Arabidopsis thaliana: one gene and its partners. The protein of the gene in region 3 interacts with the protein of the main gene of each other region in a pairwise test. Each region holds a gene or a part of one and is shown on either strand. Other genes may lie near its edges.

Region 1 (6,150 bases), on a different chromosome or scaffold from region 3:
AAAAGCTTACTACTTGTGGGATCCGAGTACACAGAAGCAGCAGCAACTTCCACGTCCCAGAGTTCATTTCGAAGAACTTTGTATGTCTTTGATTTCTGAGGATAGTCCTGATCAAGGGTTTAGCTACAAGGTGGTCCGGGCAGAGTGTGTAGCCTTTCCTGTTAACAGTACAAAGGTGAAGGTAGAGACTTTTTCCTCAAAAACTTCTACGTGGAGCTACTCAGAGCTTATTTGTCTCGAGCCTCTATCTCTCAGCCCGTGGACTCCAGGGAGAGTGATTAAAGGCGTTGTTTATTGGCATGCTAGAGGAGGTAAAATTGCCATATATGACTCAAACAGTGAGGAGAAACGGATTGATGTGATAAAGCTTCCGAAAACATATGACTATGATGAACAGGTTCTGGGAGAAACCGATGATGGGTCTTTACAATACGGATGGAGCAATAAGTCGGTAATGGAGGTATGGAAGCTTGAAAAGGTAGGCAATGTGCTTGAATGGAACCTGCTGTTTAAGGTGAATTTCAAGGCGATGTGGAAAATGAACCAAGCGGTAGCTACAAGATTCAGCACTTGGACTAAAGAAACGCAGCTGCTTGCGCTCTTCAATCAGAAGTCGGACTTGGTGTACATCAGATGTGATACACAAATCTTCATCTATCACACAGAGACTAAAAGGGTCGAAGTAGTTCAGTACCAAGGACGAAAATCGACACTCGTTTGGGATTTCAACAAAGTGGTGCCTTACTTTCGACGTACCTGGCCTTGTTCTCCTCTGTTTGAAAACAATGCCATGATGATCGACACTCCTCAATGCAACGCCTCTTCCGCAGGAAGTAACTAAGTAGTTTATGCTTTTAATCAGTTTATGTATGTAGGCTATTCAACTATCTTTTATGTTTTGATGCTGAAGGTTTTTGGTTTTGGCCATTGATGAACCTCTCATGGTTTTGATGTATTCTCTCATGGGTGTCATTAAAGACTCTGCCTTTTTGCATTTGCGTTTTGGATCTGCGTTTTGTGGTTGACTCCGTTTGTAGCTAATTTATGATAATTTACACATAGAACAAATGGTTCAATCTAACAAATTATAAAACAGATCAATTTATTTACACAGATAATCGATGTCACTTGTCTACATAGTTCTTAAGTTATAGGTTGATCCAAATAGTTTCAATATTATAAGTTGAATTAATGGGTCACTTGGAGAATGTCCACATTCTTTGAAATGTAATGACGAATGTTTGTTCTTTCAATTTTCTAAAAAACGAATAAACATAATAATAATTATAAAGTCATGTAGTGATCTAAGAAACAGATCATAGTTTCTCTCTATGTAATCTTAGGTACAGATAATAACTTTATGATCTCATTATTGGTACATTGATTTTTTTTCTATTTTCTTTTTGCTTGCAACCTTTTTCTTCCCTTTTATCTTTTTATGAATGATGAAAATGTTATGTTAAGATATTTGTAAAGATCATTGATTTGAATAAATAGAGACCCGTCTAAATATGCACCAACAATTCTGACTTCAAGTGAGATTTACATTTCAAAATTATGCATTATGCCTAGAAAAAAGATGATCACTAATATTGTTGGATTTGAAGGGAAAAAGAAGCTGGTGTTAAAAGAGTGGTGGGACATTATGACAACTCAAAAGGATCTTTAACTGTGTTGAGAAACTCCAATGCATTATTTATAAAGGCCTAAACAAAACCTATAGGTCGCTCTCTATATATGTTCATATCATATATATGGCTCACATGGCTCATCATTGTTTCAATGACATGATAACTAAAGTTGTAATGATCTACTCAACAACGAATTTTGGTCTATATGGACCACCACCATCAACTAATTTTTATTGATATTCATCCGATTACGAGATTTGTGAATCTTTGATAAATTTAGCTCATTATTATGAAACTTTTAAAGTAATAAATATGTGCATGTTTTGAGTTTCTACCAAGTTTGGGTGTTAAAACTCAGTTTCATAATTAAAACTCCGTTACTGCTATTTCGTATAATGTCATTTTAGTGAGTTATAAACATTTAGTGACTAATACTTTTTAGCATTCTCAACAAGACAACAATCACCCCTAACTACAAGAAAATGAAACCCAAAATAGTCTTTGATTAAAAATCTCCAAAGTTTGATGTATCTAATTTTATTTCTCTATTAATGATTAAACTGTACTATCACTCATTGTCGTCATTATTCTTTTCTCCCAAAGCTATAATAATTTACGAGTCCAATGTATATAGTTTTCAAGCGATATAATGGTTACATTAAAATATGTATAATCTACTTTAACATACTTTCATATATATTTTGGAGGCATAGATATTAGATACGTTGACAAGCCACATGTTCTTTTATCACAAGCCAAAAGTAGGAAGAAAGAAAAGAATGTATGAATTTATAAAGTGATTGGTTAAGAAGCAAAAGAAAAAGGAGAGTTAGGGGTTTGAACAAGTCAGTAATCATATAGATAGTGAAAGTGACAGTTGGAAAAGGTGAGAGAGAGAGAGGATCATCACTATATTTAGACATCACTTGAAATCATCTCTTCACAAGTGTCTGAATCTCCCACATCATCTTTCTTCCTGATTCTCATCATTTGGTTTGTGTTCGTTCATAGGTAAAGTAAGATTCTTCCATACCTATTAGACACTAATGTGTTGTTACATCATTATATCGTTTGTTCTATTGATGTGATTTATATATTGATGAGTCTAATGATCTTGAAACACAAAATCTGTGGATATATACCTATTTTGGTTCGATCTTTAATGGATCTTCTTTAGATGTTTGTTCTGTTTTCTTGATCAACTTAATAAGAGGATTTTATCATTTGTTACCAGAGAACTCCATCTAATGGCGAAGAGGAGGTCGTGGTTCGGTTGGATGAAAAGACTATTCATCTGCGAGGCCAAAGCAAGAGCAGAGAAGGTTTTGTTTCTTTCTCTACACACTATGAATTGTTTATGTTTCTGAATCTAAAATGATTCTTCTTTTTACGTAGAAGCCAAGGAGATTGAGATGGGTGTTTAAAAGGCTGAAGCTGAGACCGCAGCTTGCCACTTGTGGGCAAGAGACAAGGACTTTGAACGAAGCAACACAGGATCAGAGGAAACATGCAATGAATGTAGCCATTGCCACGGCTGCAGCAGCTGAGGCAGCGGTTGCAGCCGCCAAGGCAGCTGCTGAGGTTGTCCGGATGGCGGGAAACGCCTTCACATCACAACATTTTGTCAAGAAGCTCGCTCCCAATGTGGCTGCTATCAAGATTCAGAGTGCATTCAGGGCTTCTCTGGCCAGGAAAGCGTTGCGGGCGCTTAAGGCACTTGTAAGGCTTCAAGCAATTGTGCGTGGCCGAGCTGTTAGGCGAAAGGTTTCTGCTTTATTGAAGTCTTCACACTCCAACAAAGCTTCAACATCAAACATCATCCAGAGACAAACAGAGAGAAAGCATTGGTCCAATACCAAATCTGAGATCAAAGAGGAGCTTCAGGTATCGAACCATTCGCTGTGTAACTCAAAGGTGAAGTGCAATGGTTGGGACAGTAGTGCTCTCACGAAGGAAGATATAAAAGCCATATGGTTGAGGAAGCAAGAAGGTGTGATCAAGCGCGATCGTATGTTGAAATACTCCCGGTCTCAACGGGTAAAGTCTCTCTCTCAAGATCTTTATATATCTGGTTAGTTTTTCAAGGAGTTGTTTTTGCAGGAGAGAAGAAGTCCTCATATGCTTGTGGAGTCACTGTACGCTAAGGATATGGGGATGAGAAGCTGTCGGCTGGAACATTGGGGTGAATCCAAGTCTGCAAAATCCATCAACTCATTTCTCATTCCAAGTGAAATGCTTGTCCCTACAAAAGTAAAGCTTAGATCTTTGCAGAGACAAGACTCTGGTGATGGACAAGACTCTCCATTTTCTTTCCCAAGGAGATCTTTCAGCCGTTTGGAGCAGAGTATATTGGAAGACGAGAGCTGGTTTCAAAGATCCAATGGTTTCCAGCCGTACATGAGTGTGACAGAGTCTGCAAGGGAAAAGATGAGATCACTGAGCACACCAAGGCAACGTGTAGGGATCATGGATTCTTTGTTTGATAACTACAAGAAGGATGGGGATAAAGTCTCTCTCTGGTCTACTTTTGTCTGCGAAAATAGTAAGATCAACAACGCTAAGAAGTCGTCTCTGACCACATATCAACATAATTGTTGAATCTTGAACATTCATGTCACTTTATTTCTTTGGTTTTCCCAGTTGTTTTGTTATTTGGATCTCATATCTCATGTGCTTTATAGATATGGTTATGAAGAGGTCAATTTTTTGGTGTTTGATGTCTTGCTTCTGTTCATTTCTGTTCAAGATCCTCCTAAATATACTTTGGTTCTGATCTTCTTAGCCTCTGTTCTTGAAAGCTGCAATTCAAAGTATATAGAAGAGTAAAACATAAGCCACTTAGTCTAGGAATAAAAGTAGAAAAGAGACAAAACATATATACATCCACCAAGTCTAATCAAACTTGTGAATGAACTAGTATCTCTTGAACAGAGGTGGAAATAAAAGAACAAGTAGCAAATCGAAACTAGTATGGGAACATTCAATAACAGGATCAAATAATACAAAGGAGGCAGAGCACAACGTTAATTAGATAAAAAGAAATTTTCACATAAGTAGATGAAAAAAGAATTGCTCTCGTAGTTTACCAAAGTGAGATATGGTTTTCACCGTTTGTCTTTTCAGTTATTTTCAGACTAAAATATCATTAATGGGAGCAACCAAACCACACAGCACTTGATTTCGGTTTAGTTTCTGTGGTTCAGTTTTGAAAAAAAAAAAAAAAAAAAAAACTGAAACAAAGAAATCGAAGAAGAAGAAAAAGAGAAAGAGATGGAGTATTTCGAGAGAGAAGTAGAAAGAAGTTCAAAATTCATTATCCACTCCTTCATATTTCGACATCTTTGCATTGAACTCCAAAATTGAGGAACAAATTTCTTGTTTTCAGAGATGAACAAAATGCAAAAAAAAAGCTCATAGATACAAACACTTTAGCTTTTTAAACTAAAGATACTCTAGGTTTACAAGATTTATTTATAAATAGTAATCAAAACGTAAAAAAAATGAGATTTTCAGAAAACTAATAAAGACGGCCGCAAAATTAGGTTTGCAGAAAAGGATACACAGGTTGAAGATGACTGAAAAATTACAATTATACCCTTCATCGAATTTTTTCTGTGTACGTATATTCAATTTATAGTGTACGTACACGAAATTATTTATTGGAACATATATGGGACGAATTCTAATAACTAAAACTATTTTATTACGTATTCTTATATCTCAATAATCTCAATACATACATAATAATTAAATAAAAATAGATGGTGAAATAATGTACGTACATTTTTGTTGGTAAATTAATGTATGTACATGTGTACATGTGTACATGTGAAATAATATACGTACATTTTTGTTTGTGAATTAAATTATTAAGAAAAATTTATTGATACAATATTAAACCAATATTGGCAGTGGTTGAGATAAGACATTGTTTGTTGTATGATTTTCTGTTCTTAAAAACACTTCTCAATGTATAGTGTAGGTACATTGGTACAAACCATGTTGACACATACTTCTTGGAGTCACAGCTGGTGTGCGGTCTCCCGAGTGAGAAATGTTATCTCCGCCAGGTACACGCTGACTTGTGTACGTACACTCTGCCAACAGACGACTGAATTCCCCTGGTGTGAGAATGACGTTCTCCTCAACATTCCCTATTCCATATTCTTCTACAATTACATCGTTCCACTTGTTGTAATCATAATCTTCGCCACTACTTTCACTACCATCAATAGTAGGATCGAGGGTACTTCCCCCTATAGATCCATCGTCACCCTGATAATCATCATACCCACCACGATATTCGTTGTCCCCCTCCTCTTCATCCTCATTTGTTTTATCGTCTTCATCGTCGTCTTGCTCATCTACGGCCTCATTATTTTCATCAACATTTGAAACACTATCACATACACGGTAACTTTCAGCATCATCACCATGAGTCCTAGAGACATTATTCTCGAGTGTCTTGACGGTTGTAATGAAAGAGACAAACAAGTTGAGAGAAGGATACCGACCACGA
Region 2 (5,143 bases), 7.7 Mb from region 3:
TACCGACATCAACGATTCTGGTATCACCGGTTATTTCTTCCTTTACAGCATCTTCAAGAAACAGTTTGATCTTCTCCGACTCATCTTCATTACAGATTAATGGAATTACCATCTCCCAAGTGTCTGAATGCAATGTTTCTCCGTTCTTCATCACAACCTCTACAACATCACAAGCTTCTTCGACTTTCCCGAAGCTACAAAACCCTTTTACCAAACAATTTGAAACCGAGAAATGAGGAGAAAACCCTTTGGATATCATCTCTTCTAGATACTTCTTCCCTTCATCAAACATTCCTTGATCACACAATCCTCCAATCAAAGTCCTATACGAGACCGAATTAGGCGAGCAACCGTTAGACAACATATCATCAAGAACTTTCCTAGCATCCATCGCACGATCTTCTCTACAAAACCCGAGAATCATCGTGTTGTAATGAACAAGATCAGGATTACAACCTTTTAACTTCATCCTACATAGAAGCTTATAAGCCTCTCTAAGCTGTGTCTTCCTACACAAACTGTTCAACAATGTCGTGTAACTTAACCTATCAGGCACGAATCCTTTATTCAACATATCATCAAGTAATTCCATAGCACCATTCACTTGACCTTTCCTACAAAACCCTTGTATCAGAATCTTATAAGAATCCACATCAGGGACAACATCTCTCTCAAGCATTTTACCAAACAGTTGGTATGCAATACTCAAATCATCATTCAAACAAAAAGCTTGCATCAATAAATTGTAACTTCTCGTGTTAGGCATTACTCCATGAAGCCGTGAACTCTTGAAAAGCTCAAAAGCTTTCTGGAGATAACCTCTATGGCTTACGAGAACATCTAGAATCCGATTCAGATGTTTTGGCTGCGGCGTGAAATTGAACTCCAGCATTTTGTAAAACGTACTTAAGACTTTCTCCGGTAACTTTGCTTCTGCGTAGACTTTGATCAGATAAGTGAAAATTTCTCCGGTTAATGGATAACCACTTGATCTGTGTTTGGCGAGAACGTCGTCGATAAGATTGAAATATCTACCACGGCCGAGTTTGAGAATGAGGATTAGATGAGAAGATCGAGAATGGCGGAAATTGGGCTGTTGAGAAGCATAATCGAAAATCTCCTTGGCGAGGAGAGGATCCGATTGCGAAGCTATGAGCTTTTGAACCCGAGTCGGAGACCCGATTGGGGATTTAGGGTTCGAGACAATCGGTTTTCGAGCTTCATGTTCAGATGAAGAATAGAACAGAAAACGCGAGGATGTCGATAACGGAGAAGTTAAGTGGCGAAAAACGGCGGCGAAGTCGTAGATCGGCCGGCGAATCATTTGTCGGAGTTTTTTTTTAATAAATCGGCCGTTGGAAGTGAGACTTGTATCAGTCAGCAAATTATCAAATATCTCTCTGTACACAATAGTTTTAGTGTAGGCCCAATTTTATAATGGGCTTATAATTGAGGCCCAGGTAGCATCCACAGCATTGTCGGTGACTACAGTGTCGGTGGTGCGGTATCTCAGTTAGTGTGATTAAATAACAGATTCTTCTTAAATGTGATTATTATTTATTTTGGAAGCTTACTAATAATATATGGAATTTGGTCAGAAGTATTGTTGGAGATGTGGACATAAAAGACTTGTACTTTTATTTTCTAAACATTAGAACAAATATGACACATGTGGTATCTAATTAATTTATTATTAATTGCTTTATACAGTTGATAAAGAATTGTGAAATATGATAATTTAATTTTCTTTCTACATAACCGTATTCTGGCATGCAAACAGATATTAGGTTATTGCTAACTTTGACAGGCCGTAACCTGATAAATTTCATTCTAATTTTTTTAAAAATTAACACGGCCAAAAAGTGATAGTTATCACGTTGCACGAAACCATAGTTGTCACCAAATAAGTCAATCATTGACAACAAAGTATTTGATTATGTATAGCCATATGTATACACGTTACATTGGATTTTTCATTTTTAAAAAATTCATCACTCATCAGATCCGTCACGTGAACGGTTGCACCGAGATTTGGAGTCTTTCGAAAGTACTTCTCTATCTTATATTATTACATTAAGTATTATAACAAAATAAAATCACAATGTAAAAACAGTAGTAATTTACGGCTACTTTATAAAAAGATTAGCTTTAACACATAATTACAACTACAAGCTTTCTAAGTTAATAAACAATTAATAAAACTGTACTCTAGAAGACTGTTTACTCTTATTAACTAGAAAAGAGACAAAACCTTGCATCTACTTATCTTCTTTCTTCTCCTCCTCCTTCTTTAGAGTCTTCACTCTTCACCGAACCCTCTGATTCTCGTATAGACACACACATACCTATACATACACACTTTAACACTTATATCTGTAGAGTATAGCCATGGGAGAAGGAGAAGCAAAAGCAGAGCACGCAGCCAAAGCAGATCACAAGAACGCTCCCTCCGCTTCTTCAACGCCAGAATCTTACTCTAAAGAAGGCGGAGGAGGCGGTGGAGATGCTCGCCGCGCAATCTGCGGCGCGATCTTCACCATCCTTGTCATACTAGGTATCATAGCCTTAATCCTTTGGCTCGTCTACCGTCCACATAAACCACGTCTCACCGTCGTCGGAGCCGCCATCTACGACCTGAATTTCACAGCGCCGCCGTTAATCTCAACCTCCGTTCAGTTCAGCGTTTTAGCAAGAAACCCTAACCGGAGAGTCTCCATTCACTACGACAAGCTCTCTATGTACGTAACGTACAAAGATCAGATCATAACACCGCCGCTTCCACTACCACCGCTTCGTTTAGGACATAAATCTACGGTTGTGATAGCTCCGGTGATGGGAGGCAACGGTATACCAGTCTCGCCGGAAGTAGCTAATGGTTTAAAAAATGATGAAGCTTACGGCGTCGTTTTGATGAGAGTGGTGATTTTTGGGAGGCTACGTTGGAAAGCTGGTGCGATTAAGACTGGACGGTATGGATTTTACGCCAGATGTGATGTGTGGTTGAGATTTAATCCATCTTCTAACGGACAAGTTCCTCTTCTCGCTCCTTCAACTTGTAAAGTTGATGTCTAGTCTTAATTTTACTTCGTTATGTTTTCTTTTTTAATCTTTGTGTTTTAGAATTGTAATCTTTTTTTTTTGTGGTCATGTTAGTGATGAGTTTCGTCGAGTCTAGTGTTAAAATAAATTAAAAGGCATAAGCCAAAAATTATAAGTACAAGTATATTACTAATTTTATATTTTACTTGTGATAATTATTTTGTTTCTCTGTTGTTGGACCTGTGGATGTTAATTAATGACATTTGACAATACAAATGTGTTGTCGCTAATAGCGTATCTTGGCATATGGTGAGTTCATCGACACAACAGCTCAGAGTGTTTGATCAGACATATGGCATCTTCAGGCAAATCTCATTTTGGTTTTATCATATATATATTTTTCCCCCATTATTACGGAACTATTTCCTCACGATTATAATTAAATACTTAGAATATTACTATGCTTTTCTGTTTTCCGATTCAATGATATTGTTTTTTTGTAAATCTGAATCGGACGTTAGGAGTCTTCTGAATATAAGTTACATTTTTTGAATGAAGCATCCGTTTAAAACGAGTGACTAAAATGATCGTGACTCCACAAGTCATCGCGTCAAATGTAAAATTTTCATGTGAAACAGTGAAAGCGTCAAATCTAAATAATATTGTGGATGATTGTTGTGAATTTGATTAGTTGACCTGATTCAAAAATTTGATTGGTATATCATGTCAATTTTTTCTCTTTGGTTTTGGCAACTTATATCATGTCCAATTTCTTTTTGTGTTACCATTTTTCTCGAATTTTCACACGTTTGTTCTTTTTCTTTTTCCTCTTTTCCTTTTCCAAAACCCCATTTTGTCTTCACGAACCGATCTTTGCTTTTAAGTTTTCATATCACAGCTTTAGCTTTGTGGTTAAAAACAATTACTTTCTATCCTCGTTAAATATTAAAGATTTCTTTCGATAGTTAATATGTTTATATAATAATTAACCTTCTATATTTCTTATAACAAATTACCTATGTGATTTTCGGATAAAAATATTTTTAAACAAAAACCTCTAGCAAACACCTCATCTGATTTTACCGGAGAAAGGTTGGGAAAATCCTCGGAATGTCCCTGTACAATAAAAGTTAATTTTAGAATAATTATCTCGATTTATAAAACAAGAAAAATAAAATAAAAGAAGATAATAGTAATATATGCATAAACACACATATATAAAAGCTGTTTTTGAAAGATGTATATATATTACTTTTTTTGTAAAACGAAAGATGTATCTAAAACATGCAATTTATCAGCGAATATTAAGAAAATGGTTAGGAAAAACAAACAAACGAATTACTTCAAGAAAGGGATAGTCATGTTCTTTAGTGTCAAAGGATAGGTGGCAACAAAATTCTCCCATTCTTCCAAATCTATTATCCCATCTTTTTTCCAATCGGCCTCTTCAAATGTCTTTGCCAAATATAAGTAAACAAAAATAGTAAGTAAAATCACTATAATGTTAAATCAAGCTCATAAACTTAAGCGTTATACACACCTTAGACACGATAGAATCAATGATACTCTCGGATAGCATAAGTTCTGATTCCTCTAGAACGTCTATTATCATCTCTTTCACCTATAGATTTCTCCAAGTCGAGGAAAACCGTCAAATATAATTAATCATGACTTTTTCTTTTTTTTGAGACAAAGTTTACATACGTACCTCCTCCGGTTCAATGAATCCAGTCTCACGAGTATCGTATAATCTAAATGCAACTGTTTAATTTTAAACAAGTGATCAGATGTATTTGTGGTTATAGTTAATAACATTGATCTCTAGCTATATAGAAAATAATAATAACATGGAATAAATGAATAAACACATTAGAAGTGATGAAGCATACATATGGCCTTATCTCTTGGTGATGAGTTTGGGTGAAAAATGTTGAGTGTGTGTACAAACTCTCCAAAATCTATAGCCCCATCGTTTCTCATATCGAATAATCCAAAAATCTGCATATTTCAGAGAAACAACATCAATCGAAGTTTATTTATTTATTTCGCTTAATATAACAAATTCAATTACCCGTTCTGCAGAAAGACTGCGCTTTTTGGTATT
Region 3 (6,105 bases):
TAAAATATATAAAAAAACGATTATAAAGATAAATTGTATTAAAAAAAACATGTGTAACTAAAATTATAGATTTCTTTAAAGAAAAAAGGAAAGAAGAAGAATCCTATGAGAAAGGAAAAGATGGTTTATATCATTTCTCATTGACATTAGTGAGGATAAAACTTTTTAAAGAGATTTTGAATTTTCTCTAGAAATTTGCGAAAACCCTTTTAAAAAAACTAGATGCTCTTTTTGTAGAGAAAATATTTATTTTCATAATCTTGATTGAAAAATTAAATTTTTTTTTCAGAAAAATCAAAAACTAAAAACATGTTAGATATTAGTACCATTCAAGGTCTAAATTATATTTGGTATTAAATCCAAATGAAATTATGTTTGACCAAAAAAAGAGATCTCGTACACGCCGGCCCATGGGCCTTTACAACAGATTGAACCAAAATGGAAACATAGACCAATCAGGATAAGGTATATTTCTCTCTATATTTGCACAATTCAACAACAACACGATTTCTCACACATTTCAAGTTTTCATTATCATCCAGAAATCTTCTTCTTCCTCCGATCACCACCATGTGTACGTTAGAGAAACGCGGCGATCTCTTCCTCCTAACCCTAACCGGAGACGGCGAACACAGATTCCACCCCGACACAATTGCCACCATTCTCTCCCTTCTCGAACAAGCCAAATCTCAATCCACCCGTGGATCCATCCTCATCACCACCGCCAACGGCAAATTCTTCTCCAACGGATTCGATCTTGCATGGGCTCAAACCGCCGGATCCAAAACCGGAGCCGCAAACCGGCTTCACCAAATGGTTGAATCATTCAAACCGGTGGTAGCAGCGCTTCTCGATCTCCCTATGCCGACGATCGCCGCCTTGAACGGCCACGCCGCCGCCGCGGGATTGATTTTGGCTTTGAGCCATGATTACGTGTTCATGAGGAAAGATCGTGGGGTTCTGTATATGAGTGAAGTTGACATCGGGCTTTCGATGCCGGATTATTTCTCGGCGTTGGTTAGGGCTAAGATCGGGACGAGTGCGGCGAGGAGAGAGCTGTTGTTGAGTGGGAAGAAGATTAGAGGAGAAGAAGCGGTGGGTTTGGGGATTGTTGACTCGGCCGCGTATGATAGTGAGGAAGGTGTTGTTGTGGCTAGTGTGCGCCTTGGTGAGAAATTGGCGGCGAAGAAATGGAGCGGTGAGGTTTATGCGTCGATAAGGAAGAGTTTGTATCCGGAGCTTTGTGGGATTCTTGGTTTAGAGACTAGAGTGTTTGCAACACCTAAGCTCTAAGAAAGCGTCTTTCAGAGAGTGAATCTTTGGTTTATTTGAAAAACACATGTTTTGGGAGAAAGAGACAATGTTAAACTCTAGAACTGTGATCACAGAAATAATAAACATGTTCAATGTTGGCTTGTTCAGTGTTGTTGTTGGGCTTGTTCTTAGGCTTGGTTGTTTAAAATATGGAACCGGTTTAATCGGTTTTAGAGCTAATTAGATGAACTAGAGATAACCGGGTTGTAGTAGTTATCGGAGAAGGAGAAACGGTGTTGTGAATTTGTGATTGCTGAAATTACGCCATGTTAAACCGGTATTAAAACACAAACTGTTTTTCGTTCGAAAACGCATCTATCAATCTTGGTCTTTTATGTTCCTAAAAGATAATTTACACACTCCCAGACATGTAATAATTAAACCAGCATTAGCATACAAGACGACAAGAAAAACTCACCAAAAAATGATAATTTTAGTTGTGACCCCTTTTTCACAGTATAAATTCTTTTTAAAACTTTATGCAAAATTGTATTAAATTATATTATATGAAATAAATTTAAGTAAAATTGTTGCTTTTTAAAATTTAACCTCTTTATATTACCATTATCATAAAACAGAATGAATCTAAATAGAAAAATTCCCAAACAAAATCTCAACTATTTAAAAGTTGCCCAGATTCATATACACGATTTCATATATAAATTTTTTCAGTTTTATCCTAAAATAAAACTAATTTTATTTATTTAAAATATCAAATTTATATTGATTTTCTAAATAAATACCAAAGGGTGATAAAATAGTTTGGTATTTGATTTGAGGTTAGTTTTGATTTAAAATGTTAGTAATAATGAGTCGCGTTTTATTGGTTGCCGGCTTAAATACTTGAAATGACTCGGACGAACGTCATTGGCCAGGCAACGTGTAAAGCATCCTACGTGGCGTTTACTTCCCAACGAAGTAGCGAGTACAAAAACCAACATCATTGTACTCGCGCGAGTAGGTCGACGAAATAAAAATCTCACCTTTTTGACCCCAAAAATTTCTAAATATTTCAAAATCAGCCTCTTCGTTTTCTTTCTCCTCCTGTCTGTTGATTTAAAGACCCAAATCTGACGCTTCTCTCTCTCTTTCTGGTATCTGCGTTTGATTCGGAGAAGAAAAAAAAAAAAAAGGCAAAGAGAGAGCTTCAATGGAGTTAGCTTCTTTCCTTGGTAGAGCTCTGTTTGTTTCCGTATTTCTTCTCTCCGCATGGCAAGAGTAAGCAATTTCCTCTTCTTTACTCGGTTTAGATCTGTAAGTAGGATCTGCTTTTTCTTTATATCTGAGAAAATTCAAAATCTGGGGGCTCTTTGTCTCTGTTGTCTTAGAGAAGTGCACAAATTATGAATCATGGATTTAGGTTTTAGCTCGATTATAGCTGAGTGAGTGAGTTCTTGGAGGAGAAAGAGAAATAGAATGTTGGACAGTGAAGGAAAAGTATGGATCTTGCTTGCTTTGCTGGGGTTGAATTTGATAGATAAGATATCTCTGGTTAGATTTTGTTTCTGATTGGTCAATAACTGTCGAACATTGCTATGTTTTCTTCTGTTATTACATCATTCTCTAATTTTAGCACTTTGTTTTTTTTAAGTTCTTTCTTTTATTACTCATTAAGTGGGTTGTCCTGAAGTTGCGAAGTTTCTTGTTGAGTTGGTCTCGTTGGTAGTTGGTAGTTGGTGGTTGGTTATTTAAGCACATGATTCTAAAGTCTTGAAACCAAGAAAATCTTACTAGGTGCTTTGTTATGGTTGTTGTGAATCAATTTGACTCAACCAATGAACTCATATATTGAATGCCTGTATAAGGAGTTTCTCTTCTAATTTCTTGTTTTAAGTTACACAATTCTTCTGACGTTACAAATGTAGTATCTTTATACGTTGATTGAAGAAAACTTTCTTTGTTCCCCTTGACTGTCTGCTTGGTTTAGTTGAAAAGCATTGCTATTTGAGTCTCTACAGAGACAGTTTACCTCACTTTTGTTCTTTCCCTCACTGATTGAAAGTTCCAATATTTTTAATGACTTCATTGTTCAGGTTCAATGATTTTGGTGAAGATGGTGGCCGATCAGCTAAATCTTTGAAACCAAAATTCAATGCCTTTGTAAACCATGTGACAACTCACACTGGCCAGCAATTGCCACCAGTCGATGTATGTGCTTCTTCATGTCCATTCTTTGTCCAAACACAGTAACCAAATCGTTTTTTTTTTTGTTTTCCTGTTTTATTCACTTTGCTTTGGTTTGCAGATGAAGATTCTTGTTGCTGCTGCTATAGCCTTGAAGGGTATTGGGGGACTATTGTTTGTCTTTGGCAGCTCATTGGGAGCTTATCTCTTGGTATGCACCAACTGTTCCTTCGAATATATTGTCGCTTATCAGAATGACGAAAACAACCCTGTTTAACTCTATGAAATCTGGTTTCAGCTTCTGCATCAAGCCGTTGCCACCCCAATTCTGTATGATTTCTACAACTACGATGTTGACAGAAAGGAATTCGGCCAACTATTTTCAAAATTTACACAGGTTAGCTAATGTCATATTGGTTGTTTAATGAAAGTTTAAACAACTGTTGACATAGACCTGAGATCTTTTTCTATTCTGTGTTAACTTTTCAGAGCTTGGCTCTTCTTGGAGGACTGCTCTTCTTCATTGGAATGAAAAACTCAAGGAAACACGGTAGGCAACTCAGGAAAAAGGCTCCAAAGGCAAAAGCAAACTGAAGAAGCCATATCTTTCATCGGTTTTATTCGGTCTGTATTTTATTTTCATTTTGGAATCCAGGATGGGTTTAAAGAGTCTATCTGATGAGGCCATTGAAAGGCAAAATCTCTGCAAATCATTTTGCTTACTTCAAGAAGCTTTTATGACACTTTTTTGTAGAAATATTTATGGATTATTGTTTCTTAGAGACACCACTTCAATGTTATTGTTCCAACTTATTTCACAACGCGACTGATTTATTAACCTACGGAATAGCCATCAGCTCAACCTTTGTAAATTCATTGTCACTTTGGTCCTAATTGGCTAATTTGTTGCTACTCAGTGAATGGTAAAAATAATTATTCATATAGCGAAGAATACAACAGCAAGAAGCTCTCGTAGCTCAGTTGGTTAGAGCACCCGTTTAGTAAGCGGGAGGTCTTGAGTTCAACTCTCAACGAGAGCAACATTTTTGGTCTGAGCTAAAGTTTTTGATAACTGAACTTTTCGAACTCATAGATCAGAGAAGAATCACAAGTTTCTGGAGTTATATTTATTTTATAAGAAAAATACAACCCAAGATCAAGAGTAAAGCTTTTACACTTGCCAAACGGAAGAATCCTAAACCAAGTGATTCAGAAATCTCTATGAGTTCCCTATGGGTACCAAAAAAAAACAATTGAGAGTTTAAGCAGCAGGAGGCCTGAGTTCTTGATCACGAGATGTGTCACGAACGGATTGAGGCATATAATGCCACATTGGCATGTAACCGTAACTTGGATAAACAGCCATTTTGTTGTGGTTAAATGCAGCTGGAATATGAGGTATGAACCCTGAAGATGGAGCCGTCATAGACTTTAACTGTTGTTCTGTCTTCTCTTTATCCGCCTTCAACACCAGCTTTTCCTCCCTCAGCTCGTTCTTCTCCGCCTATAAAGAAACATACAAACTTAGAAATCTGTTCACATCCCATTGAACAAGATTCTTGGTTTAGGTGAAAGTGAATGAACAACCAACCTTGAGACTCTTGATCTCCTCTAAAAGCTTCTGGTTAGTTTCTTCAAGCTTAAGAGCTTCATCTCTAAGTTGATTCAATATACGGATTGCATCATCGAGTATAGCCGGTTTATCAGTCTTAGGAGTCCTCCCAGGCTCCAAAACCGAGCTCAAATCCATAAACCTAACAGAACAACAACAATTTTTTTCCCCTTGAGACAACTCACTTCACAAAACAAAAACATAGACTAAGCTCTAAACATACCTCTCATTTAGCTTCTCCCTCCTCAACCTTTCACGACACGCTTTAGTTCCTCCTCCTCTGCTACACGATCCAGTCCTTGCCCTATCAACAACCATCACAGATTCAATTAAAAACACAACCAACTACCACCAAATCACAAAAAGTTTATATTTTTTCAAAACTCACCGCTTTCTGGAGCAATCGTCATCTAAATGTTCCTGTTCTTCCTTAACAGCTCCACCAGATGAACCAGAATTGATCTCTACTTCTTCTTCCTGCACAACTTCACAATCTTGTTGCCCCACCTGTTCTGGCTCTAGCGACAAAACTCCATTATACGAGGACAAATCCAATTGAGAAGCTCCAATACTAAAGACTTCATCTGGCTCCTGCTGCAAATTCACACCATATGACACAAAATCTGGAAAGGTATCCTCTTGATCAGTCTGCAAATTTACACCAAACTGTGTGTAATCATCAAGTTCTGCTCCATTGCTACAAGAGTCATCATGACCAAAAAGATTCACATCCATCAATAGGAGTAAATATAAACAACAACATCCATAAAGCTACTTCTTCTCCTATTCAATTTAACAGCTTTCAGATACATTAGGGTTCGTCAAATTATCATCAAAAGACACAACCTTTCCCCCTGAAATGCGAAAAAAACAACAACACTTTTCACAGAAATCGAATTGAACATTAAAGATATGATTTTGCAATTGAAAAAAGGGATCAAATTCGATAAAACAACTGAATCGAAAGAGATAGAGAAAACAGAGGAAGGTGAAGGAAGAGAAGAGTGCGAAAGGACGAACCTTTGATCGAAGCAAAACAAATCAGAGACGAAATC
Region 4 (6,904 bases), 3.8 Mb from region 3:
CTGTTAATTGGAATTCTTCATGTTTCTGCACACCTGATGGCTGCTTTGATTCTTATGTTGCTGTTGGAACTCGGCATAGAAATCTGTATTCAGCATAAGCTCCTTGCAAACTCCGGTCAGTTTCCTTTCCATAGAATGTTGTGGCTTTCCTCATTACAATGTCATTGACACAAGTGGACAAAAAATATGTGATCCTACTTTAATTGATATTTTTTTGTATCTGTGATCAAACCTTAATGGATTTTGAGATTTTCAAACTTTTTGCTACACAGGGTATCATACATTGTATCAGTGGTACAAATCAGTAGAAAATGAACATTTTCCGGACCCTACTGGCCTCCGAGACCGTATTGAGCAGTGGACGTTCGGATTATATCCTGCCTGCATCAAGTATCTTATGTCAGCATTTGATATTCCCGAGGTAAAATCGTCAACTTAGCCTTCGTTTTAGCTGAAATAGAAAACTATTTTTCAGCCGAAAGTAAAGTATTTGACATAGGTGATGGCGGTTACACGGACTAACATCTGTCGAGAAAGGAATGGGAGTCACTTTCTCGAAGCGGAGCAAGCCATCTATTATGCTTCTGTGTTCCTCTACTTTTGGGTTCTTCTCAACCCCTGTTGTATCTTTGGTTTTTGGAAGTTACTTATATATATCCATCAACTGGCTTCACATACACTTTGATGAAGCATTTTCTTCACTTCGGATCGCCAATTAACAAATCATTCACCCGTTTCCAACATCAAACCTGATGGAGACCTTGAAGTCTTCACTCTCGGAGTAGACAAGGTGAGAAAAACAACTCTCGAAATGACAAAAGAAAAAGTTTGTGATTATAGAATTAAACAGAGGAGTGTATGTGATGAATGAGTACAGGTGCCAAAGGAATGGAAGCTGGACAAGGACTGGGATGCAGAGCCGAGATCGACTGTGAAAATGAGTCATCACAGAAGGTTTCCAAGCAAATGGTGTGCAACAACATTGCAGCAGGATCCTGTCAACACCGTAAAGATTGTCGATAAGTTTGTTATTCATAGATCAGAGAAAGAAACTGGAGGATCTTAGATAGAATCAGGTTCTTCACTGATCCTGTCGTTTAGAATGTAGTCATTAGCGTTTCCCGCTTTATGAATAGGCTTTGAGACGAATAATGCTTTCTTCTGAGAGTGATGACAAAAATAATTCATATCATAGTTAACAATTTAACAGCTCAATCTTTTGCAATTTCACTTTAGAATCTAATAACAAGTCTCTGACACAACTTTAACTCTATTTTGTGTCTCCTTCATCCAACATTATTCTATAAACCCTTTGAATTTGTGAGATAAAATATATATAAATACATGGCACATTCTCAAACCAATGACTTCCTTTCTTCGTCCTCTTCTCTATCACCATCGCCTCCTGCGATCCTAACCGCTGGTCTCGCCGGAATCTTGGCCGGAGCTTTACTATCCATTGGAACCATCTTCAATACAATCCCCATTGCTATCAACAGCAAGCCTGATCCGTGCTGTTCCGTTAACGGCTTTGTGAATATCAAATACGACAGCAACAATGTAACCCCTTTCCTAGCCGTTGTTATCTACACACAACGAAATGTGATTTTAGACCATTGAGTCAATTAAAATACAAATGAGTATTCAAAGATAAGATTAGATATTTACCAAGGCAGTTGTGGCGGCTCCAAAGAGAGCAATAAGCGAGAGAACGGAGACTTGACCGATAAATGTGGCCATGGCTTCAAATACAAGCACTCCATACACATACGGATGCTGCAAATATAAACAAAGCACAATTGGTTTTAAATATGTCAACCAATGAATCATTAAACCGTTTGACTATAAAATATTCCACGTTGGTACTTAAGTTATGGAATCAATGAATTTAAAAGAGACAATTTGGCTTTTAAAAAGTTTGGCAGATTCAGAGGCACGTCGTCGGTCAATGATCTCTCTCATTTCGTGGTACCAAGAATCCTACAAATTTTGACTTTTTCTCTAAACTGAGTCCAACTCCGGTTTGAATCATAAACCGAGTCAAATCTATAGAAGTACTTTCAAAGCCAAATAAAAGGTTCCACTCTTTGTCACTTTCACTTAAAATGGACGACTATCTCATAAGGTTAACTTGGTTTGGTTAAAGGTTGACCAAAAGTCAAACCAGAAAAAAGAGAACAGAGGTTGTTTACTTACTTGTGCACACGCAGTCCACGCACGAAAAACCTCTCCGGTTAAAACCATGGGAACGAACAAGAACGGTAATCCAACAACTGTTGAGCAGAAAAGCATCTCCATCTGCACAACACACATAACAAGAGTTAATCTCAGAAACGAAACAAAACAGACCGGTAAAGGAAAACCGAAAGAACCGTGTTTTCTTTAGTTTCCTTGCCTGAGTTGTCTCAGGATTCATTGTGAAGATAGCTTCTTGCAGATTACCCAAGAAAGCATCCATGATCAATGCACCGGTTATCATCATAATCCCAATCATACTGAAATTTGGAGACATTTGCGCATCGGCTAATGTGAATAGGATCAAACCAAGAACAAGCAAGAACGCTGAAATGTATTCATGGACTGGGTATTTTCTTCTAAGACCGGGTATAAACGCTCCCATTATCATCACCGGTAACACCTAAAACATCCGAAAGATGGTCATTCCGATCATTCTTTAAACTCAATTTAAACTCATTGAGACTGTAATTGGGAAATGTGGATCTATTACCTTGGTGGATTTGAACATGATTTGAGCTGGATAATTGAGATAAGCCAAAGATCCTTTGGTTAAACCATGTGAACCCATGAGAACAGCAGAGAGTTTGACATAAGTTCTCATCGGATTAACTATATGCTTTGTGGTAAAGCCTTGAAGGTAGATTAGAAACAAGTAGACAAATCCTTGTATAAACGTGAAATACCACCCAAAGCTACAAAGACAGAGCAAAATCCCATTGTTAACTTTTGTTCAAATCTAAAACTTAAAAGAGTAATCAAAAGTTGACTTTTACCTAAATTGAAGACGATTATAAACATATTCCTGCAAAACCAAAGAAAAATAAATCAAGTCAATGATCATATATGAGTACTTGTAGATCCAATCACATTCTCTAAAATCTGTTTTCTTTACAAAGATCACAGATTTTTTGTGATCTCTCACAAGTTTGGAGAGAGTTTAGTTCGTCATGCAATTTTTTCTTCTTCCTCTGTTTTTTTTTCTCTCAGAAACAAAACATCAAACACTTAGCATGCAAGAGATTGAAAATGCAAAAAAATTATAAATTTACGAGATTCAGGAGCTGGGTATGTGGAATTATGACAAAGAACAAACAAAAACATTAACGTTGATTGATTATGTATCAAAATTCTCGAATCAAATTGCAAAAAAGAGAGAAACGAACCTCGCAAACACCGTTAACGAGATAACCAAAAAAGAAACCAGAAGTGCAAATGAGAAACTGTTGCCAAGTTGGTTTATCAGACAAAGAGATTCCAAACAGAGATCTTGTTTGTTCCTCCTTCATTTTTCTTTTCTTTTCTTTGAGGAGAGATTCAAAGGAAGAAACCCAGAAAGTGAATTAAGAGTAATTGATCAAACACATGTAAAGTGATGACTCATAACGGTATTATTATCACTCCTCGAAATAACGAAAACCACACCACAAAAAGGGTAATCAAAGAATAATTAAAACCAAATTCTTCACTCTCCTCGAGAAACTTGATGAAGAGGGAAGAGAGAGTTAATAGATGTATTGGTAAAAGAGGAGGAGGAAGAAGAGAGCTTTTAAGAAGGAAGGAGAAAACGCATGAAGAAGAAGAAGAAGAAGAGACTCGTCGCGTGATTTGCCACTTCGGGACACGTTTTTTCTCCATTGAGCGTTCTTCTTCTTCTTTTTACGTTTCCTGTTACTCTTTTTTTTACCGGTAAAACTCAAATTTGCAAGTAAGACCCTTAACGTTTATGTATGTTTGATTTAAGTCTGAAACTTTTGTTTATCTACACACCACGACAAAATTTGCATTACCAGCGTGGCACATTTTTTTGTCTTAAGTCTTTTATTGCATGATCTCATGTTTGCTAATTACGATCATATCATATTATTACCAGCTTGGTATATATATATATATAAAATTTGGGTTTTAATGACAGTTTGTGTTGTATATGTGTTGTTTGAAAAATGTATTTATAATAAATTTTGGTATAAAAATAAGAAAAATAAATGCTATGACTTATCAAATAAAATTATCTAAATTTGTCTATAAAAAAAAGTATCAAAGTAAAATGGAACAAATAAGGGTAAAAATTGATATATAAGAAACATATCAAATCAGATCTTGCTAGTCAAAATTGTAAATTTTTATCTACATTTAGGATCTGTATATTGACTATGTTTTCTAAATAACATTTGTTAAAAAAAGTGAAAGAATTCAAAAAAGTAGTGTGACAATTTTTACAAAAACCTTAATTAGAAGTCTAAAATCATATGATATCATCAAATCTTGATATAAAGTAAAAAGAAAGTGTGTCACTGACTCTACACATTAGAAAACTAGAGGCACTAATAAAAAAAATAAGATAAACTTTAGGGGTGCGTTTTCATATTTTCTTTATTTGATGCAAAAGAAAGTTACTACTTCGAGAGAATAAGAGAATAAAAAGGAAAATTTAATAAAGATAATCAATATGGCTTACGAGTCAACTTTCCGGTTTAAGACAGATTGAGTCATTGTCTCAATAGACGCCATTACAGTCTGTCTTTTACAATTTCATCATCTTTCCTGAATTTTGTTTTTGTTATTTTCGGAAGTGATTGTTAAATGCGTTACAGAAGTTCTGGTCATGTCAGAATTACATATTGACATAACATCTGGACACGTTTTGGTAAAGAAATCAATTTACTCTTTTTCTTTTCATCTTCTATATCCATATTGAGCAATAAACTTCACACATGCATATTCATTCTTTCACCAACAGAGTAGTTGTTTTGTTCTAGTTGAAAACTCTAGTGAACAAATTTGGAGGAACATATACAAAATGTGTAAGCAAAATAATGACGATATTTAGTCAATGAATTGAAATGTTTTAGAAGAATTAGGTGGCGGTGTATGGTGAACAGTCGAAATATACATTATTATTGGCTATTAGTTCTAAAGAAGCGATTATAATCGTCGTATATGAAATAGCATATAGACAAAATGGTTTGTTTTAAAATAGACCGTTTAATAATAGCTTTGATTAGTGACACTGATAAGTTAAAATGGAATAGAAAATAAATTAACTATGAGTCTATAGTCATACAAATATCATATATGCATATAGGCGTCGCAAAGAGCCAAAGACCATATTCTTTTTTTTTTTTTGGTCAAAAGCCAAAGACCATATTCTTTTCTTGAAATACCAACGCGAAACTCAACAATAAATCTGATATTTATTTTATTTTTTGTTCAAAGGCTTAAATGAGAGAGCTTACTGCAATATTACAACAACAAAAAAATTGCAATTGGTATTAGAGATTTTTTCCTATCAAATTTATTTCTATTAGAAGGTCAAGCTTTACGTGCAATTGTATTAATACATAAAGTTACAAATGATAATCTCTACACATAACAAAATTGATCTTACTCGTAGATATTTTTCTTGCTTAAAACCATTTGTGTGGTTCATAATAAACGGAAGACTTCGATCGAGAGACTTTTGCATATGCAAGCAACCCATCACATTTCACAAATTGACAACAATATTATTGCTAGAAAACTATAGATTTATGTAGATATATATTTTATTCTTTTTTGTTAAAAAAAAATCAGACATTTACATTCAAACTCAAGCGAGTAAAAGAATCAAAGTCGTTAGAGAAACAATCCAGTGACGTACGGTCAAATAGTGTGGGCCTTAGCTTCAGCCATTTTGTACAGAGTACCGGAATCTTACCAAACACCGAAGGCAGGTCCAGTTACACTAGTTAGCGGTTACGTCTCCTTCTAATTTTCATAGATGAATTAGTTTTTTTCTTCTAAATAAAATACGAATTTTTAATAAGATTTTGTGTTATTATTGATTATGGACACTGTTACTGCCGTATTATCATGCGCAAAACAGGGTTGGCAAACTTATAATAGGTGATACTTGTACAATTTATCTATATACTTATTAATTCAAATTCAAGTATTTGTGTAGCTACTACTACAACTAGACGTGATAGTCAGCATATATGAATTATTCTTTCTTTGCTAGGAATATTTTTAAAATATTATAAAACTAAATTTTTAAAAGAAAAGAAAAAAAAATTATACACTTATACGTATAATTTTAAACAAGTAGTACTACTGTACAACTTATATACAAGTCCTAAAACTTAGTAAATTATATTTATATCGTTAAATTTGGCTTATTAATATTAAGGCATATAACTGAACATAGCACGAGTATGACTTTCTTGTATACAATAAACAGAACTATACAATATATATGTCCTATGTGACTACGTGTGATTACAAAATGCAGTGATATAGCCTATAGGTAATTTGCCCCCAAAAAAAACAAACTATAGGTAATATGTCGCAATTTTTGGTTAGTGCAACAAATGCAAATTATTAAAATCTAACAATATATTAGTAAACAAGTTTTCAAATATCGAAATTGTCTCCATGCGTTCAAGCGTCTCTCTCTCAGCAACAATGATTTGGTACGTAATTCTATTACATAGGGGAATTCGGTTTATTTCCTAAATTATGGGTTTCTTTTCTTACTGAAACAATAATTCAATTTTTGGGATTCGAGGTTAGATATATTTATGCACAGAAATTAGGTTTTGCTTTTAAAAAAAATTGTAAGAGAAATTTGTTACAATTTTCATTAAATATAAAATTAGGAGGATGCATGAGATCTCTAGTGACTCAAGTC

The links.
Region 1: the proteins of AT4G14420 (region 3) and IQD12 interact in a protein complementation assay, tested with the Arabidopsis thaliana proteins (one large-scale study listed by BioGRID).
Region 2: the proteins of AT4G14420 (region 3) and AT4G01410 interact in a protein complementation assay, tested with the Arabidopsis thaliana proteins (one large-scale study listed by BioGRID).
Region 4: the proteins of AT4G14420 (region 3) and UTR2 interact in a protein complementation assay, tested with the Arabidopsis thaliana proteins (one large-scale study listed by BioGRID).

Annotation. Positions count from the first base shown.
Region 1 is NC_003076.8:1,066,412-1,072,561, reverse strand, and holds IQD12 (IQ-domain 12), read left to right. Parts: upstream 1-2,397; 5' UTR 2,398-2,642; intron 2,643-2,772; exon of another isoform or gene 2,773-2,865; 5' UTR 2,866-2,878; coding exon 2,879-2,953; intron 2,954-3,026; coding exon 3,027-3,668; intron 3,669-3,731; coding exon 3,732-4,229; 3' UTR 4,230-4,404; downstream 4,405-6,150. Other genes in the region: AT5G03970 (F-box associated ubiquitination effector family protein), read left to right, coding at 1-841. UniProt on the Arabidopsis thaliana protein: May be involved in cooperative interactions with calmodulins or calmodulin-like proteins. Recruits calmodulin proteins to microtubules, thus being a potential scaffold in cellular signaling and trafficking.
Region 2 is NC_003075.7:575,920-581,062, forward strand, and holds AT4G01410 (Late embryogenesis abundant (LEA) hydroxyproline-rich glycoprotein family), read left to right. Parts: upstream 1-2,108; 5' UTR 2,109-2,388; coding exon 2,389-3,072; 3' UTR 3,073-3,368; downstream 3,369-5,143. Other genes in the region: AT4G01400 (oligomeric golgi complex subunit-like protein), read right to left, coding at 1-1,324; CBL5 (calcineurin B-like protein 5), read right to left, coding at 4,119-4,155, 4,382-4,494, 4,580-4,660, 4,748-4,800, 4,929-5,037, 5,111-5,143.
Region 3 is NC_003075.7:8,300,098-8,306,202, reverse strand, and holds AT4G14420 (HR-like lesion-inducing protein-like protein), read left to right. Parts: upstream 1-2,206; 5' UTR 2,207-2,464; coding exon 2,465-2,532; intron 2,533-3,347; coding exon 3,348-3,462; intron 3,463-3,559; coding exon 3,560-3,649; intron 3,650-3,736; coding exon 3,737-3,835; intron 3,836-3,927; coding exon 3,928-4,032; 3' UTR 4,033-4,352; downstream 4,353-6,105. Other genes in the region: IBR10 (indole-3-butyric acid response 10), read left to right, coding at 571-1,293; bHLH104 (basic helix-loop-helix (bHLH) DNA-binding superfamily protein), read right to left, coding at 4,700-4,942, 5,030-5,192, 5,274-5,354, 5,439-5,747, 6,071-6,105.
Region 4 is NC_003075.7:12,058,963-12,065,866, forward strand, and holds UTR2 (UDP-galactose transporter 2), read right to left. Parts: upstream 3,897-6,904; 5' UTR 3,525-3,896; coding exon 3,402-3,524; intron 3,041-3,401; coding exon 3,012-3,040; intron 2,931-3,011; coding exon 2,729-2,930; intron 2,639-2,728; coding exon 2,396-2,638; coding exon of another isoform or gene 2,373-2,395; intron 2,327-2,372; coding exon of another isoform or gene 2,299-2,326; coding exon 2,197-2,298; intron 2,114-2,196; coding exon 1,973-2,113; intron 1,777-1,972; coding exon 1,669-1,776; intron 1,621-1,668; coding exon of another isoform or gene 1,587-1,620; coding exon 1,356-1,586; coding exon of another isoform or gene 1,345-1,355; 3' UTR 1,222-1,344; downstream 1-1,221. Other genes in the region: AT4G23000 (Calcineurin-like metallo-phosphoesterase superfamily protein), read left to right, coding at 1-115, 273-421, 500-685; AT4G23015 (uncharacterized protein), read left to right, coding at 1,345-1,620.